Drosophila melanogaster: one gene and its partner. The gene in region 1 interacts genetically with each later gene. Each region holds a gene or a part of one and is shown in the gene's direction. Other genes may lie near its edges.

Evidence for each region.
Region 2: of su(f) (region 1) and f, changing one suppresses a phenotype caused by changing the other (phenotypic suppression), as found in Drosophila melanogaster (3 studies listed by BioGRID).

What each region holds. Positions count from the first base shown.
Region 1 is NC_004354.4:23,093,541-23,102,151, forward strand, and holds su(f) (suppressor of forked), read left to right. Parts: upstream 1-3,868; 5' UTR 3,869-4,155; coding exon 4,156-4,191; intron 4,192-4,252; coding exon 4,253-4,575; intron 4,576-4,739; coding exon 4,740-5,015; intron 5,016-5,073; coding exon 5,074-5,473; intron 5,474-5,677; coding exon 5,678-5,869; intron 5,870-5,934; coding exon 5,935-6,348; intron 6,349-6,404; coding exon 6,405-6,512; intron 6,513-6,961; coding exon 6,962-7,262; intron 7,263-7,319; coding exon 7,320-7,567; 3' UTR 7,568-7,891; downstream 7,892-8,611. UniProt on the Drosophila melanogaster protein: Essential protein, may play a role in mRNA production or stability.
Region 2 is NC_004354.4:17,255,646-17,264,256, forward strand, and holds the start of f (forked), read left to right. Parts: upstream 1-3,728; 5' UTR 3,729-3,829; coding exon 3,830-4,686; intron 4,687-6,994; coding exon 6,995-7,333; intron 7,334-8,611.

The sequences.
Region 1 (8,611 bases):
GAAAAGTAGCTTGAACGAATCGGTTTTTGGCCCGATAAACTAACAAACAAAAACAAGTTGAGTTAACCGACGGTAACAGGAAAAAATCAGAACAAATTTCTGATGACGATTATCATTATAATTTCCATAAAATGAGTTATAAACAATAGAGAATGCGATAGTCGAGTTCCCCAGCTATCGTTACTCAGGTGGAACGACATATTTCAATATGTCTTTTAGAATATCGGCAGAAATTGGAAACCAAAATAATAAAATGGAAACTAATTTAAAAATTATTCCAATGTAGGCGTGACAGTTTTGGGTGGTTTGTGGGCGGTAGAGTGTGCGTGCCAAAATTTTTTTTTGCGAATTGGTAGATATGTACAAGACTTATAAAACCATGAAACAAATTTTTTTAGTTTTGGGCGGTTTGTGGGCGTTAGAGTGGTAATGGTTAATCTCAACATTCTAGCTTTTATAGTTCCTGAAACTGAAGCTATAAACGCTTTATTCTACCTGTTACATACTTTCCAACGAATCAACTATACCCTTTTACTCTACAAGTATTTTTTATCTTTGTATTTTGTATTTCGATGTCGTAGAATTCAGAAATTTTTTGTATGCTCTTTTAATGCGGTATACATATACATATATATGTACAATATTCCTGATTAGGATCACTAGCCGAATTGATATGGTAAAGTCTGTCTGTCCGTAAGGGGGCTGTCACCTCGAAAACTTTAAAAGCTTTGAAGTTAAGATAATGTATGCATTTCTTTCCTTTTTTCTGATTTTCGAAACGTAACGTTTTAAACGTTTTAATCATTCGTTAATCAAACAGCAATTCATATAACAGAACGTTATATGAATTTTTGTTAAGTGTTCTAAATATTTTGGTAACACAGACAGGACGAAATGAATTTTCTATCTATTAAATAAATTGATATTTAAAGAAAGCAAATTAATTTAGAAATATATTGACAATTTCCAACTAATTTATCTCTGTTATGGAAAATTAGTTTAGGAAAAAAGTTAAAATAACAAAAGGAACCGCTATAGATTTTCTCCACTAGCGCCACTCAACTAAGGGGAGAACGAGGGAGAAACTTTGAAACTTGATTGTCATATCCATAAAATTGTTTAGAATAACAAGAGAGAATGCTATAGTCGAGTTGCCTGAATATCAGATACCCGTTAACCCAGATATTTTTCTGCGATACCAAAAGATGTTGGGGAATAAAATGAGAAAAAATTTCAACAATTTTCAAAAGTGGGGCGTGACCGGTTTGTCGGCTTAAGGGCGTCACAGTGGGTGTGGCAAACAGTTTTTTTTTGCACATCGATCGGAATTTACAAGACTAATAAAGATGTGAAAAAATATCAATATATTTTTCAAAAGAGTGCTTGTGGCATTTTTTCGTGGGCTTGTGGGCGTTGCAACATGGATCAACAAACTTGCGCTGCGTCTTTGTCTCTAGAATCTGCATGCTAAATCTCCGCCTTCCAGCTTTTATAGTTCCTGAGATCTCGACGTTCATACGGACAGACGGACATGGCTATATCGACTCGGCTATTGATCCGTTATACAGTCGGAAACGCTTCCTTCTGCGTGTTACATTCCTTTAAACGAATCTACGTTACTCTACGAGTAACGGGTATAATAACCAAATAAAAAAGTCTAAACATATTTAAAAAATTTGGTTGGCGTTCGAATGAGATGGTGGAGGTATTTTGGCAAAGCGATACAAAGTAGCAAAAAATCAAAAAATGCAATGAAAAATAATTATAACATTTCACAAAAGTGTGGGTGTGAACCTTTTGGGCGGTTTGCCGTCGTTAGGGTGTGCGAATATTTCAAAACTTGCCCACGTACCACTATGTGAAATTTTACCACTTTTTCTGCCCAAAATGAATAACTCCAGGACGTTGAAAGATATTCAGATTGGGTTACAATATATCCGTTCTGAAACCGCCCCTTATATTTGTTGTAGTTTGTAACTCTAGAACGGATAAAGATATTTAAATTTTTTTGCCATTATCTTTTATGATACCAAAAATTGTGGCCGTGGCACCGCCTCTTATATTTAATTAACTAATTTTGTATAGGTATTTCCCTAATTTCGTATGCTTTTTCTAGTCCAAGCAAAGAACAACTGATTTCGTGGTAGTGGTTGCATATTGAATTATTTTACAAAAAAGTAAACACAAACATAATAACAAATTAATGAATCAATTCACCAACAGGCATTTTTAACTCCCTTTTAGCTAAAATTACTCTGCATTTGAACAAGTAGGGTAAGGACCTAAAAACTATAATTTCTCCGAAAATCGCAAAGAATGCACTTTTTAATTACAACTATCTAAACAAGAATTAAATAAGCTACAAAATAAGGTATATTTCATGAATGAGTTTTGTTGCATTCGCTTTAAATCCCTTTTGAAAGTTAAGTTTTTATAACAAAAATATTTTAGTAAGACAACATACATTTTTACGGTATAAAGTCCCCTTAATACACGATTTTTTGATAGTTTTGATAGTCAAAAACACATAATACAAACCACATTGAATAAAACTAATTTTGCAGAATGAAAAAACGCTATGGCTCAAAAGATATATAAATATTTGTATCAAGGGAAAAACTTATCGTTGCAGACAAAATTTTTTTTGTGCTTGCAACACAGCTTAGAGAATGATTTCTTTGTTTATTTATTTCTGGTATGCAGGAATAAACATTGGCCAATATAACAGAGACAAAGCTAATGCATATGTGAGGGATACACACACACAGTGTTTGTTCTACTTTGAAACACAAAACCGCGTCAGTGTGACACACTTATTGCGCCTTAGCACACACACCCACAGAGGTATTAGGTAAGGGAGAGTGACCCAGGAACGGTAATAATTTCACTAACTTGTCGAAGTCTATAAACCGTAAATATACCGCTAGGACATCAACAACAGCTGTTGGCCTCTAGGTCTGCAATGATTGTGATGCTCTCCGGAAACACGCACATGTGTGTGTGTCTTGTCTACCTTGGCAGTTTAATAAATCGGTTTCAATGAATGATACTAATACTAGTTGCGAATTTAACTCGAATTATCTCTCGGCTAATAAATGCGCTTGGTTTCGTTTGATTGCCACTCCTGATTGTTTAGCGTTTGTTTTAAAACTTTTTTGACACTTACCCAATGTGACCGCATACTGGTACTGAATTAATATCGATAAATATACCAATCTATTTCTAGGGTTAGATTCTGGGTATTCCTTAAACTGTTAAATTGTGGGAATGTTGAACCCTCAACATGAAAAAGAAACAACAAAAGAAAAAATTAAATTTCAATAAAACATTTCTCTGTAAGTAAATTCTTAAAACAATTTAACACTACAGTTGCTGAAGAAAGGTGCGTTTCACTTTCTATTTCTTATAGCAAAAAATAAGTTCCGTTAACCTTGTTGAATTTTGTTATCACTTGGACTCGTGTCTAAAACATTTAAGAACAATCCATTGACTTAAATTATAATGTTTTCGTGTGTTTTCATAGTTATGTTTGTTCGAATACCACAATACCAAGAATACCTTTACCTCATATTATGTTATATTGTTTTAATGTATAATGTTATAGGGTAATCAGGAAAAATTCGTACCTAGTTACGCTACTAGGCATACAATTCCAGGCTTCCTAAAAATGCCTTTTTATTAAATATTACCTCTTTTACTTACTATTACATAGAACTTAAACGGTTCAAAGTATCTGTTAACAACCTTCACCTTAGCAACGTACAGAAAAATGTTTCAGTGGAAACAAGCTATAAAAAATATTGCTTCTGCTTGAATTCATTATTTACAGATTTAGTACCTTTAAAGTATGTTAAAACCATATATCTTTTTTATTTATAGTTTATAATCAGTGACCGCTGTACTACACATCCCAAATCTTGGGATTTTAATGGTAAGGCCCGCGATGTGATTGGCGATGACACTATCGCAGTTACATCCAATCAGTCGTCGATATCTAAGCAGCCGCATTGCAACTTCTAAAAGAATTCGGAAAAGCGGCATCCAAGCGTTGCTTTAGGTAATTGCGTAGCGAAAGTTCAACGGAAGAAAGGAACTTTCCCGGGCCAAGGAGCAGCGCAAGCAGGACTCAACGACAATTTGCAAAGACTATTAGCAATGTCTTCGGCCAGAGACCTTATCAAAGTCGACATAGTAAGTAAAACATTGGCTTTATTTGGATGGTAACAACATATTTTTACTTATCGATGACAAGGAATGGGGCATGGAGCGCCTGGTGCGAGCTCAGCAAGTGGTGGAGCTGCGGCCCTATGACATCGAGTCCTGGAGTGTCATGATCCGAGAGGCCCAAACGCGGCCAATCCACGAAGTACGCAGTCTTTACGAGTCGCTAGTTAATGTGTTTCCGACAACCGCTCGGTACTGGAAGCTATACATTGAGATGGAGATGCGCAGCCGGTACTATGAACGCGTGGAGAAACTTTTTCAACGCTGCCTAGTCAAGATTTTGAACATCGACCTCTGGAAGCTCTATCTTACCTACGTGAAGGAAACCAAGTCGGGTCTAAGTACTCACAAGTAACTGTTATACCTTATTTAAATAATTCACATAATTTGACATCTTAGAAACTATTATAATTTTAGTCAAAACTTGCAATGCAGCGAGCATATTGTTTTTTTTGATGCACAACATTTGTGTTATTCTGACACGCTTATTTTATTGGACTTATCTCTTTTCTCAGAGAAAAAATGGCCCAGGCTTATGATTTTGCACTGGAGAAAATCGGCATGGATCTACACTCGTTCAGCATCTGGCAGGATTACATATACTTTCTGCGGGGCGTTGAAGCAGTGGGCAACTATGCAGAGAACCAAAAGATCACAGCAGTGCGCCGCGTCTATCAAAAGGCTGTAGTCACACCTATCGTGGGCATCGAGCAGTTGTGGAAGGACTATATCGCATTCGAGCAAAACATAAACCCGATTATATCAGAGAAGATGAGTCTGGAGCGATCTAAGTGAGTGTTATACGCAGAGTTTGCTAAATGTTCTTTCTAAATTCCAACTTAAAACCAGGGATTACATGAACGCTCGTCGTGTTGCCAAAGAGTTGGAATACCACACAAAGGGTCTCAATCGCAATCTGCCAGCCGTCCCACCCACACTCACAAAAGAGGAGGTGAAGCAAGTGGAGCTGTGGAAGCGCTTTATCACGTATGAGAAGTCTAATCCCTTGCGCACTGAAGATACGGCCCTAGTAACCCGTCGTGTCATGTTCGCCACGGAGCAATGTTTGCTGGTGCTCACCCACCACCCGGCAGTGTGGCACCAGGCCTCCCAATTCCTGGACACCAGTGCTCGCGTGCTCACCGAAAAAGGCGTGCGTACTAGTGTTGAAAACATTTCACCTATTCTCTGCGTTCCTGTAGTGAATCAAATAGAGTGGGTTATGGCCTTTGCTTGGTGGTGGGCAAAGGTCAAAACCAAAAACGAATCAAATATAGTCTCTTGTTTGCTAAGAAGTGTCGCCCCTCGGGTAAAGGAGCACGCAGTGGCACAACACAGATGGCTTTCCGTGGCTTGCCCCGTTGCCCCTGGCCAGGCCGCACGCGTTTTACTCTTATAACTAAGTCGAACTTTTGTGTATTTACATGTTTAATTACTTATTAAAACATTGCAGGACGTCCAGGCGGCCAAGATTTTTGCGGACGAGTGTGCTAATATACTGGAACGGTCTATAAACGGCGTGCTAAACCGAAATGCGTTGCTATATTTTGCCTATGCGGACTTTGAAGAAGGACGGCTCAAGTACGAGAAGGTGCACACTATGTACAACAAGCTGTTACAGTTGCCAGACATTGATCCCACATTGGTAGGAACACACATATTGAATATGTTTCATCAAATATTTGATACCATCGAAATTTAATACTCCAGGTCTATGTTCAGTACATGAAGTTCGCCCGTCGTGCTGAGGGGATCAAGTCGGCCCGTAGCATATTTAAGAAAGCTCGGGAGGACGTAAGGTCGCGCTATCACATTTTCGTGGCCGCTGCTTTAATGGAGTATTATTGCTCCAAGGACAAAGAAATTGCGTTCCGCATCTTCGAGCTGGGATTGAAGCGTTTTGGTGGCAGTCCAGAGTACGTGATGTGCTACATTGACTACCTGTCCCATCTAAACGAGGACAATAATACGCGCGTCCTGTTTGAACGGGTACTTAGTTCAGGTGGTTTGTCGCCGCACAAGAGTGTTGAGGTCTGGAATCGCTTCCTCGAGTTCGAATCTAATATTGGGGATCTCTCCAGCATCGTTAAGGTCGAACGTCGCCGTAGTGCCGTTTTCGAAAACGTGCGTTCTTTTACTACTTTATTTTAGAAATATGTTATAATAATATTTGTTTAAAGCTTAAAGAGTATGAGGGCAAGGAGACCGCCCAGCTGGTTGACCGTTACAAATTTCTGGACCTTTACCCCTGCACCAGCACCGAGCTCAAGTCCATAGGATATGCTGAGGTGCGTAACGGAATTTATTTATTTATAAAAATATAAGAAGAAAGAAGAAACAAACTAGCATCCATAACCGCGAAATAATTGGATTCTATTGTTATACTACATCAAACGATAACATGTGATCGTGTAGTAATCGCCATAACAGTTTAATGTCTGAATACATTTTTTGAAAATTGATTTCATTCATAATTTTTCCCATTTGAGACAGTTTGTAGGAACTCATTGGAAAGGAAAGAGCAAGACTATTTTATTTTATATGTGCGAAGAAGAAAGAGATAGCATATAGACTTACTGAATTTTAAAAAACATTTTTTAGCACAGACTGTTTTAAAAGTGTTCATTACGACATTTTTCTTCTTATAGCCAATCAAACTTTTCACAATACTTTTTATAGGGTCCACAAAATGTTTGTCTTTAATTACTTGTCTTACTTTAATCACCTCGTTCTGCAGAATGTGGGCATTATACTGAACAAGGTGGGTGGTGGAGCTCAAAGCCAGAACACCGGAGAGGTCGAAACAGATAGCGAGGCAACGCCACCATTGCCACGTCCGGATTTCTCCCAGATGATTCCATTCAAGCCGCGTCCATGTGCTCATCCTGGTGCCCATCCACTTGCAGGTGGTGTATTTCCGCAGCCGCCAGCTCTGGCCGCTTTGTGCGCCACCCTGCCTCCACCGAACTCCTTCCGTGGACCGTTCGTCAGCGTAGAGCTACTATTCGACATTTTCATGCGTCTCAATCTTCCGGACTGTGAGTGTCCCTGATTGAAATTCTCTTCAATTAACATTGAACAATTATCTTACTCAGCTGCACCGCAACCGAATGGAGACAACGAATTGTCGCCTAAGATCTTCGATCTGGCCAAGTCGGTTCACTGGATCGTGGATACAAGTACGTATACGGGGGTGCAGCACAGTGTTACGGCCGTTCCACCGCGCCGGCGACGACTGCTGCCTGGGGGCGATGATAGTGACGACGAACTGCAGACCGCTGTGCCGCCCTCCCACGATATATATCGCCTGCGTCAGCTAAAGCGTTTCGCCAAGTCTAATTAAGAAACGTTAAAAAAAAACCGATTTTTACTTTTTTCTTTCAATTAATTTACAAGAAACAAGAAATCCCAATAAAGCAAGCCATATTAATTAGGTTTAGTTTTGTTGGAAGCTGCTTGGGAATTTGCCTTCATGCTTTGGCATCACCGGTTGTAGACATTTAGGGTTGCATTGAACGATAGCATTAAATTTGTAATATTTTTCTTAATGTAAGTACACACTAACCTTTGCATCCATTTAAACATTTTAAGTGTACATTTGTTGTAAATAACTATTCAAGACAAAGTGCATTTTTCGATACTACATAATATTTTTTAATTTAGGCCAAAAAAATGTTATACATAACTCACAATAGTATATCTGTATACGTAAACATTAAAATCTCAATATAATGGTATAAATGGTACATGTTTATATCAATGAATTTCTGCATAATTTAAAGTTAGAGAGTAGAATGTAGACCTAGGAAGCACTCCTCCATTACCTCAGCTGGTAAGCATCGTCTACGGTGCTTATAAAGTCCAGCATATTGGGCGAAACTTTTTCCGCAGGGCCAGCATGAGTCGCGCTTCTCGGAGCGATGGAGGGTCAGATGGGCGTGGGCAGTGCCTAGCCCACCACAAACTCCCGGGAACGGACACAGCTTGTCCCGAATATTAAGATGGGCACGCAAGGAACGGTCCCTTGCGTGGGCCGTATAAAACTCCTAGTCGCACCTATTGCTGGTTTCTGTGTCGCTTAACATGCTGATTTAACTCGGGAGCAATGCTCGCACACGTAGGGCAGTTCCTTGGTGTGACTTCTTTCATAGACCCGCAAAGCCGTCGTGCTAAAAAACTTCTTAGGGCAGTTGTTACAAACGTGTATATGTAAATGTAATGTAAATGTAAAGATGTAAAAACTTCAGTCTACAAATATGGCATATAGGGGCCAGGTTTGGATTCTGCCGCAGGCCATCCTCATCGTTTAGTTTTGTACTTTATGCCTCCGGATCCAACCATCTGTCACGCTGAAGCTTCGGCCTCAATAAGTATTCTAGGCATTCGT
Region 2 (8,611 bases), 5.8 Mb from region 1:
ATTATTTTACAACTAGCTTAAATTTGGTAATAACTTTTTAAAACATTCTTAACTAGAATGAATTTATATCATACAAATTTCTTTGATTTATTTAAACGAACCTGTTTTTTCGTGCGACCTTTTAAACACCGATCGCCGAAGATGCCGAAGAATTCTTTTTAGACAGTTTAGCACATTGACTTTTGCTTTCTACTTTTCCTCTTCCATTTTCACACACACGAAAGTGAAAACTTGCCGTGTTTCGATTCTCGGCCGTTCGAAAATTTGAATTTGAATTGACGGATGGGGCAAGATATATTTAGGTGCCATGTGAGATCTTCGATCTTTGATGATCTAAACCGCTTCGACGGATGGATGAAAACGAAGCGTTTACCGTTCGATCAAAGTCTTGTAGACTGTTCTGCTTTTGATTGGCGAATACCGAGAAATAAAACAATGGAGCGAAAAGTAAAAGTATGCAAGATGTGGTCGCAGTAGTTCGAATATCGGAAGTAAATGAAATCTAAGCACCATAAGTCTACAAATATTTGTATATAATTGTTATAATATAAAATATATATAACTTGAAATGTATTGTATATATTTATTTTAAATTAAGTCAAATTCATTTAAAATTAACCCAGTTTTTATGTATTCCCCCGATTTTCCGTATTGCGCAATTACCCAAATATTCGTAAATCCGTATAGCAGTTTTATTTTCTTCTTTCGTTTTTATTGCCCCACCACAGTGCTATTAAAATTTTTTTGTTGCTGCGAGTGGTGCTGCTTAATGTTTTATGTTTATTTCCTATCCGCCGAGTGGGGCACACAGTTACCCACCGAACAAACTGTTTTCCAGCGCGCCCAAAAGAAATTATTTTCCTTTTTATGGCTTTACCCTTCAAAATCACTGAAGCATTTGTTGGCTGATGATTTCAGCTGTTTTCAAATTGTTAATTTTCGTACTTCGAATACTTCGCAGATTAATAGTCCACCAGCCGTTAAAAAAAAGCTAAGAGTGGGTCAGAAAAATTAATAGTACATTAAATAGAAATTTTCTTAGGAAATATTTTCAAGGACTTCTTTTGATTTTAGGACAATAAGCTATGAATAAGTACTTCCTGTTAGATGTGTGACTTTTACATCTGCTTAAATTATAGTGTAATATAATAATGTAATCTTTTGTCCTGGGAGAAATCTGTAAAACAATATTATTTAATTTCCTCTGGAGATTAGCGAAATCTTAACAATTTCTATAGAGATAGATTTACAGCAAACAAATTATAACGGTTCTGGCTTTATTATATTTATGGTAATTACAAATTAAAACACATATCGAAATACACACTCGTTGCGCAATTTTAGCGCCGAATGCCCACAGGCAATGTAAATACAATAAATATATTATCGATATGACTTGGGATGTATGTCACATCACTTTGATGGACTGAATGGATGCGATTTGGACAGCCTTCGGCCAGATGTGAATTTGAATTTGAATGGCAAGCGACAAATACGTGAAATGCGGATGGATGGTATGGATGGACCTCCATTATAATGTGCTCTGTTATATTTGCATTATAACTACGACTCAATGGCGGCCTTTCTAAGCCACCTAATGGCTCTCATCTCTGGCGTTTTCATTTTCATTGCTCTTTTTGGGTCACATGGCCCAGAGGGAAAGATATTACGCAGAGTTTGAGTTCGAGGTTGAGGCTAAGCACTTTAACTACAAGTTTTTAATTTTTCAGCAGCTGAATGTCACGTAATATTCGTATGACACCCGCAGCCTGAGCGCCATTGAACCAGAAATCGAGGCAACTCTTTACGCCATCTGCACACGCTTTTCATGAGTCACACAGCTGGAAAAGCCGGGTGGAAAAGTACGGAGGAAAAGCGCGCAGGTGGAGTTGCTCAATTGCCACTCAAGAAGCTGCAAGCCAGCCCCAATTCATTTACATTCGCCACGCCTGAGTTGAGCCCGTTCTAGGGGCACAAACTCTATATAGTTACATACTATAAAGTATATAGCATAATTGATATTTGGCATGCCTCGAGTACAATAGGCACTTCGTGTGGCAAATGATTTAGAAGGCAATGAGAACTATAAACACTAGGCGGATATTTTGCAACTTAATTGCATATTTTCTATAGAAATTAGCTAAACTTCGATCAAGGCAAATGGAAAACGATGATGAAATTGGCCTTAAGTAGCTGAAATAATTATAAAGACTATTATGTACTATAACAAATATGTTTTACAAAAAATATTTACATATTTAAAATATTTACAAACGTAATTTTAAATAATTCTTTTTATAGTTATAGGATAAAATATATTATAACATCTTCAACAATTCATGAACAGATAAATAATAAAAATATTTTCCAATAGATCAACGTGAAATTATAGTTAAGAGATATGATTAATTCGTTTCAAGTATTGTTTTATGAACCTATATTTGTACTATATATGTGGACTATAAAAGGGCCTATTTCACTGTCGCAATTGTTGGTTAATTTGGCCAATACAATGCCAATGGCCCGATGCCGTCAATTAGCCGAGAATAGAATTGTGAACTCGAATTGCAGAATGGCCAGCAACAGCGGTGATAATACCAACAACTATGGGCTTTAGTTAATATTACTATGCATGCCAGTGTTGTTGTTTCTGTTGTTGCTGACGCGTGCTCAGCCGAGTGAAGCGACGTCGACGTCGACGCCGTCAGAGGGTTGCCCCAGAGCAGAGTTGACATGGCAGTGAGCGTGAAAAATAAATAAATAATACAATCAGAGGGGCAGCTAAGCCCGCGACTCTTCAATATTGAGCAAACGTTGAACGTGCACAGAGAGAAAATGCTAGCCTGAGTCCGGGCAAAGTGGATGTAAATCACCTTTAATAGCTTCAGTCCGAACCTGCTAGAAAGTGATTTAAAATGAGTGAAAAGTAAGATAAAAATTAAAATGTTTAAATACGAAAATAAACTTGCAAATAAAAAGCAGTAAAGTCATACAATAAATCTAAGTTTTAGAAGTAGACCGTTAGTGAATAATTGAACAGTTTTACAAGTTGTCGATCCTGTCACACTTGAAATAAATAACTAAAGAAATAGGTATTAAATGACGCAGAAGTCACTCAAGTTCCTATTTAAAAAGGTAAAATGTTTTTTAAAAGTAAATTTGTTTTCATTTTGTTTTGAAAAATATGGTCATTTAGATTGTAAATATTGTATTTAATTTTTTTTTATTTGCAAAATTACAATTATTACTATTATTAAGAGTATTCATTATAGTTAAGTGTGTTAAAATTAATAAAAAAAAATTTAAGTAGATATTAAATGGGCATTTGCAATATTTGTAGCTGCGTGTAGCTGCGGCAGCAGTGGCATATCGGCAAACAAAGCGGCACCAACAACACCAGCAGCTCCAACAAAACAGCCCATAATCACAATTACAATAACAAAAACATTTACATCAACAATAACAATAACAATAACAGAGAAGAGCAGCAACAGAAAACTCTTAATCATGAGTGGCGTTTGGCTGGCAGCGCAGCTGGCGCAACGTTTTTGCATAGGAATCCGACTGCGGATTTTGAAGTTGTATCTTTTTTGGCCAGCGAACATTTGCGTCGCCGGCGTCACGGAGCGCGGACGCGACAAACGCGACATTGCCGAGCGGAAACCGGAAAACGAGCGGGTTTTCAGAAAATCAGAAACAGAACGCAATCAGTGACATAAAGTCAACTAGTTCGGGAATTTGGGGGAACGAATTTTCGGGGTGGGAACGAACGTACAAATACGTATATAGAACCAAAACCAGAAGAGGAACAAGCCACGAAACGAATCCAATGGCCAGTTGTGCGCCGGTGATCGTGTGGAACGGTGCTCAGTTTACGGCCAGCAGCAGGGAGCTGGAGCAGCTGCGTCGCGATTACGGTCTGGATGCTCGGATGTTGGAGGCGACACTGGTGCCGCGATATAAACGCCACAAGCCGCAGGCAGCGGCACGGAATGATCACGTTCGTGTGACCAAGGAGCAGCAATCGGATTGGATCCTCAAGCAGGATCGCAGCACCAACGTCAGCCAGGTGAACTTCCATCCCTGGGCGGGTGCTCACTTCGACTTGGTGCCCTGGCGTCGCACGCGATCCGCTTTGGATTTGACAGCAGTGGAGGATTACAATCACGGTCTGGTCGATCCCAAATCGCTGAAGGGTCTGGAGAAATTGGAGCTGAGACAGCAGCGCAGGAGGTTACAGCGCGCCAGGTCAACGCATCAGGGTCTCCGGCGATTGGTGCGCGTCCGCTTGATCTTCTCCATCGAGCTGCGGCACAAGCGGATGGAGGTGCTAAGGAAAAGTTCGCTGCCCGTGCGGGTTTTCGAGCAGCGCTTTGCCCTCTCGGAAAACGAGAGCGCCGCCTACGAGCGCATCCTGCTGGATGCCAATGCGGGAGTGGACCAACATGTGGGCTATTTTAGCAAGAGGCAAGTGGTTACATCCAACCGGGAATCCAACGAAGAGTTGGTGGTGGATTTCGCAAGCGAAACGGAGGCGGATGAGAAGGCAGATGAGCAGCCGGAAAAGGAGGAGGCCCAATATGCCACAATAGCTCCAGCGGAAAAAGGAGGCAGTGCAGCAGTGCCCGACAAGGAATCCGGCCAGGTGCCATGCGTCAAGTGCCGCGATATTGCCATCAAATTGAGGTAAAAGAAATCGCTAGAAAAAATAAACAAAAACGGCAAACCAGAACACAAATTAGCTGCAAAAATAGACGAGCGCCAAAATCAATTAGTTACAGTAATATGTCGATAAAGACTACAAACAAGTGCAAATTCTACAATAATATGGGAGTGCAAGAAATATCAATTTATTGACTATGGTTCTATATTTAGTGCTATATTTTTTTAAGTGCTACCCGAAATATTTGATATCAGTGCAACCTTTAAAAAATCTTTGGAAACTCGTATTATTATTTAATGAGTCTGTTGCCACGACAAAATCCGGGATGGGTATATAATTTATAGTTTTTACCCATCGGATTATGTGCGAACTTTTGGATCGAAAGCAGCTTGCAAATTTCCCACAAACTCTCCGGCTTTCCCATTTCATAAAAACCCACAGATCTTCATGAGTATAATTTCTTAAATGATTATTTTCTTCCGTTCTCTGTTCTTTCACTTTTTCCGAACTTTGACCATCCCCTTCCTCTCCCATACATATTTACTTAACTATTTATGTTTTTGTTTTGATGCTATGAACGAAAGGTTAATAGAAACAAACTCTAAAGTCTGTAGATTATTAAACTATTTGTATTGTTTAATACTCACTTAAAGCAGCTTGCCTTGAAAGGTTTATAATTTTGCTTTTTGAATTACAGTATTAACCGCATGGATGCGTTTGCCATGCTCATTAGTATCTTAGCCAAAAATATTTTGTATATAGGAGTATTGAGCAAATACATTTTTTAAATAGCTGCACGAATCAATAAGTCTAATGCGAACAGCCAATTGGAAATGTAAAATTTAGTTGTTTCACCTTTAAAATAAGTATTTACTTTCTGTTTACTTGAGTTATATCACGAGCCAGCGATCAAATGAAGCCAAAAAACAGAGGGCACCTCTTAACACCCTTAAAGATCATAATTTTCTTAACCCCCTTTGCCACTTCAGTTGACCAACTGGCCTGCAATGCTATTGCCAAATAGCTTATTTCACTTTTTTCTTTCTCAGCTAAATGTTTGTGAGTTTTGTCGGATTGTTAGCTTTGTTGGCTATGTTGGCTTTGTGGTTTTCGTGGGTTTCATGGGCTCGGTGGCACCTGCCCTGTTTTGTTGACACCTGCTACCGGCCCGCTTCCATTTTCCATTTGCCATTTGGTGTGTTCGGCGATGCCAGCGTTGATGCAATAAACTGGAAGAAAGTGTCGTCTTCGCGGCTTTCTGTTTCTTTTTGTTGCCACAAGAGGAAAGCAGCGACAAACGAGCAAAGACAAACGAGATCCATCCACAAATGCCCGGTATTTTCGCATTTTAATGCTGGCGGCGCTGCTTCTCAGCTTTCAATTAATGTGTCGCCGTGTGTATTGTTTCTCTTAGCATTATTATTATGATTGTTATTGTTTATTTGTGCCGCGGAAACGGCAATCAGGTGAGTCAGCAGCAGACTTGACCTGGTTTAGTGATTCGGAAAAGGGCACTCAGTGAATCCAAGTGCAGCCCAAGATGCGCACAAAGATGCCATCAAAATTAATAACCATCACTTCCCCCGGCCAATTAATTAATTAAAAGTTGTGCCTAAATGGCTGTCAAGCAAACAATTTAATAACAATGAGCAATTTTCGTGGGCTATATTGAACATGCTACTAGATTTGCAACAAGAGTAAAAAAAAAACAATTAGCTATTAGTAAAGAGAAAAATGAAATAAAAGTGAATTTTAAGGAAATTTGTAACTAATTTGCTTCGCAACAAAGGTAAACTTATATATTATTTAGTGTTCCTAGATATTAGTAAAAAGGAAGGCGTTAAATGAATTTCAATAATATATTAAATATTTAGTTTTAAAATTGTGTTGCACTTTCTTGGCAAGTTCGTGTCTTAAGTCCTTAGCTTAGTGTGTAAGTTTGTGTCTTAAGTCATTTGTTTGGGGTGCAGAAAAGTAGACTGCAATTGGAGATACAAAGCAAGCTGAAAAGTATGCAATATTTTTTCTCTGCTGACCCTTGTCAAAGGAGATCGGGAAATGAGATCCCTCGGTTGCCTTCTATTGAGCCTCCTTGGTGGGCGAGATCTGTTAAGAGCGCTGGCCAGCCGATTTCTGTCGCGCTCCAGCCTGTCATGGTATCTGCTCGAGTGCTGGTTTATCTCGTCAAATACCGTTGCTAGTTTGAGGTCTTTGTGCAGGGTTGTGTTCCTTACGAACCATTCTGCTCTACATAATTTGGCTAATAAGTCATTAAGCTACTTTCTTACAAATTGTTAATTATTCTATTCCTTATTCCTTTCCATCCTGCAGAACCATAAACGATTATGCGCTCAATTCGAATCTGCACCTAAGCCACAACACCAAACTAAACAATCTGCACAGCAACAAGCTCCTCCACAGCAACCAAAGCCACAGCAGCAGCATCAATCCGAGCACAAGGATGCACTCCCACCAGCTGGATTCCTACCTGGGCGGAGTGGGCAGTATGATGAATCTGGGCGGCATGGGCCAAGTTGGCCAGATGTACCATCCGGGGAGCGTTTCCGGCAGCGAAAGACCCAACGGAGGAGCTCTGGCCCTTCACTATGCTGCCGCACGTGGTTGCCTTGATTGTGTCCAACTGCTGGTCGCCGCATCCGTGGATATTTGGTAAGTAGATGAGTTACTGTCCCAAAGGAGTATAGTATATGATGACCAAAAGTTGCATCGCGATTTGAGTGCGGGGTGAAAGCTCTTGCACCAGCCGTTCATTGTTTTTATGTGTCGGGGAAATCGCTCGACGATCGATGGCTCCACTTTGTGTTTTATTTTTCCCCCATCTGTCTGCATTTCCATTCGATGCGGTTTCTTTCCATTTACTTGCGACAATTATTCTCATTAGGGGTTTCTTATCTGATTCGATTAGTATAAGAGCTGAAACAAGTGAATTAGTGGCTGTGGAAATCTAACTAAATTTGGACTTGGTTATAAAATCCATTTCGAAACGTATGGTGGTAATTATAGCAATGCTTTAAAAACAAGATTAAGAGAGAAAAACGACCAATGTATGTATATATATTTTGAAAAAATTAAAGAACTGGTAATCAATATTTTAGAATACTCTTTTCTTAAGCGAAAATGATATTTGGCAGGTTTATATAGATTTCCAAGTATCAATTCCGTACAAACGTATTATTAAAAGTATTATATTGTTCGATTTATGTACACCATTTTGCCTAGTTGTAATAATCATTCAAATGGAAGCATTTAAGTGTATTAAGCCTTCGTAACGATCTGATTATCATAAACTGAATCAACGATGATGTCGATTTGAGAATTTATCTACCTGGTAAGCTGGGAGTAGTCATTAAATGCACTAATTAAAACTTATTAGCCCATCCAACAAAGTAGAAAGAATGAAGGCGAGTGGTGAAAAACTAGGAAAAAGGCAAGGAAAACCTGGCGAATATCTTGGAAAATCTATCCGCTAAGTGGGTTACCGATCCGTGGCCAGTGTTTGATTCACCTAAATTCCTGTGCTCCAACAGCAGCACGCGTCCAAAGCTGATTCATTTAATTGGGAAATGGGAATGGGAATCCAACTGGCCAAGGCGAGCCAGCCAAGCGAGATGCACTCCATCTTCAGCCCTCCTTGGCCCCCTGAATCGCCTACGATCCCATGCCATCCCATCGAGTCCAGGCCAGGTTTGGTTCTATCGTGTGCTATTTTCAATTGGAGTCAAACTGGAAAACTCACAGCGGCACAAAGCACCGTTGCAACAAGTTTTCCTCACTCGCCACGAAGTGGAGCAACTCCGGACTGACTGGCCAAGGAATCAGAATTGGACTCAGAATCACAGTCGGAATCGGAGTCAGAATCAGTGCCACTGCCTGATCCCCACCTCCCTCGATCGTCCCCAGCTATATTCATATTTACAAAGCGCCAAG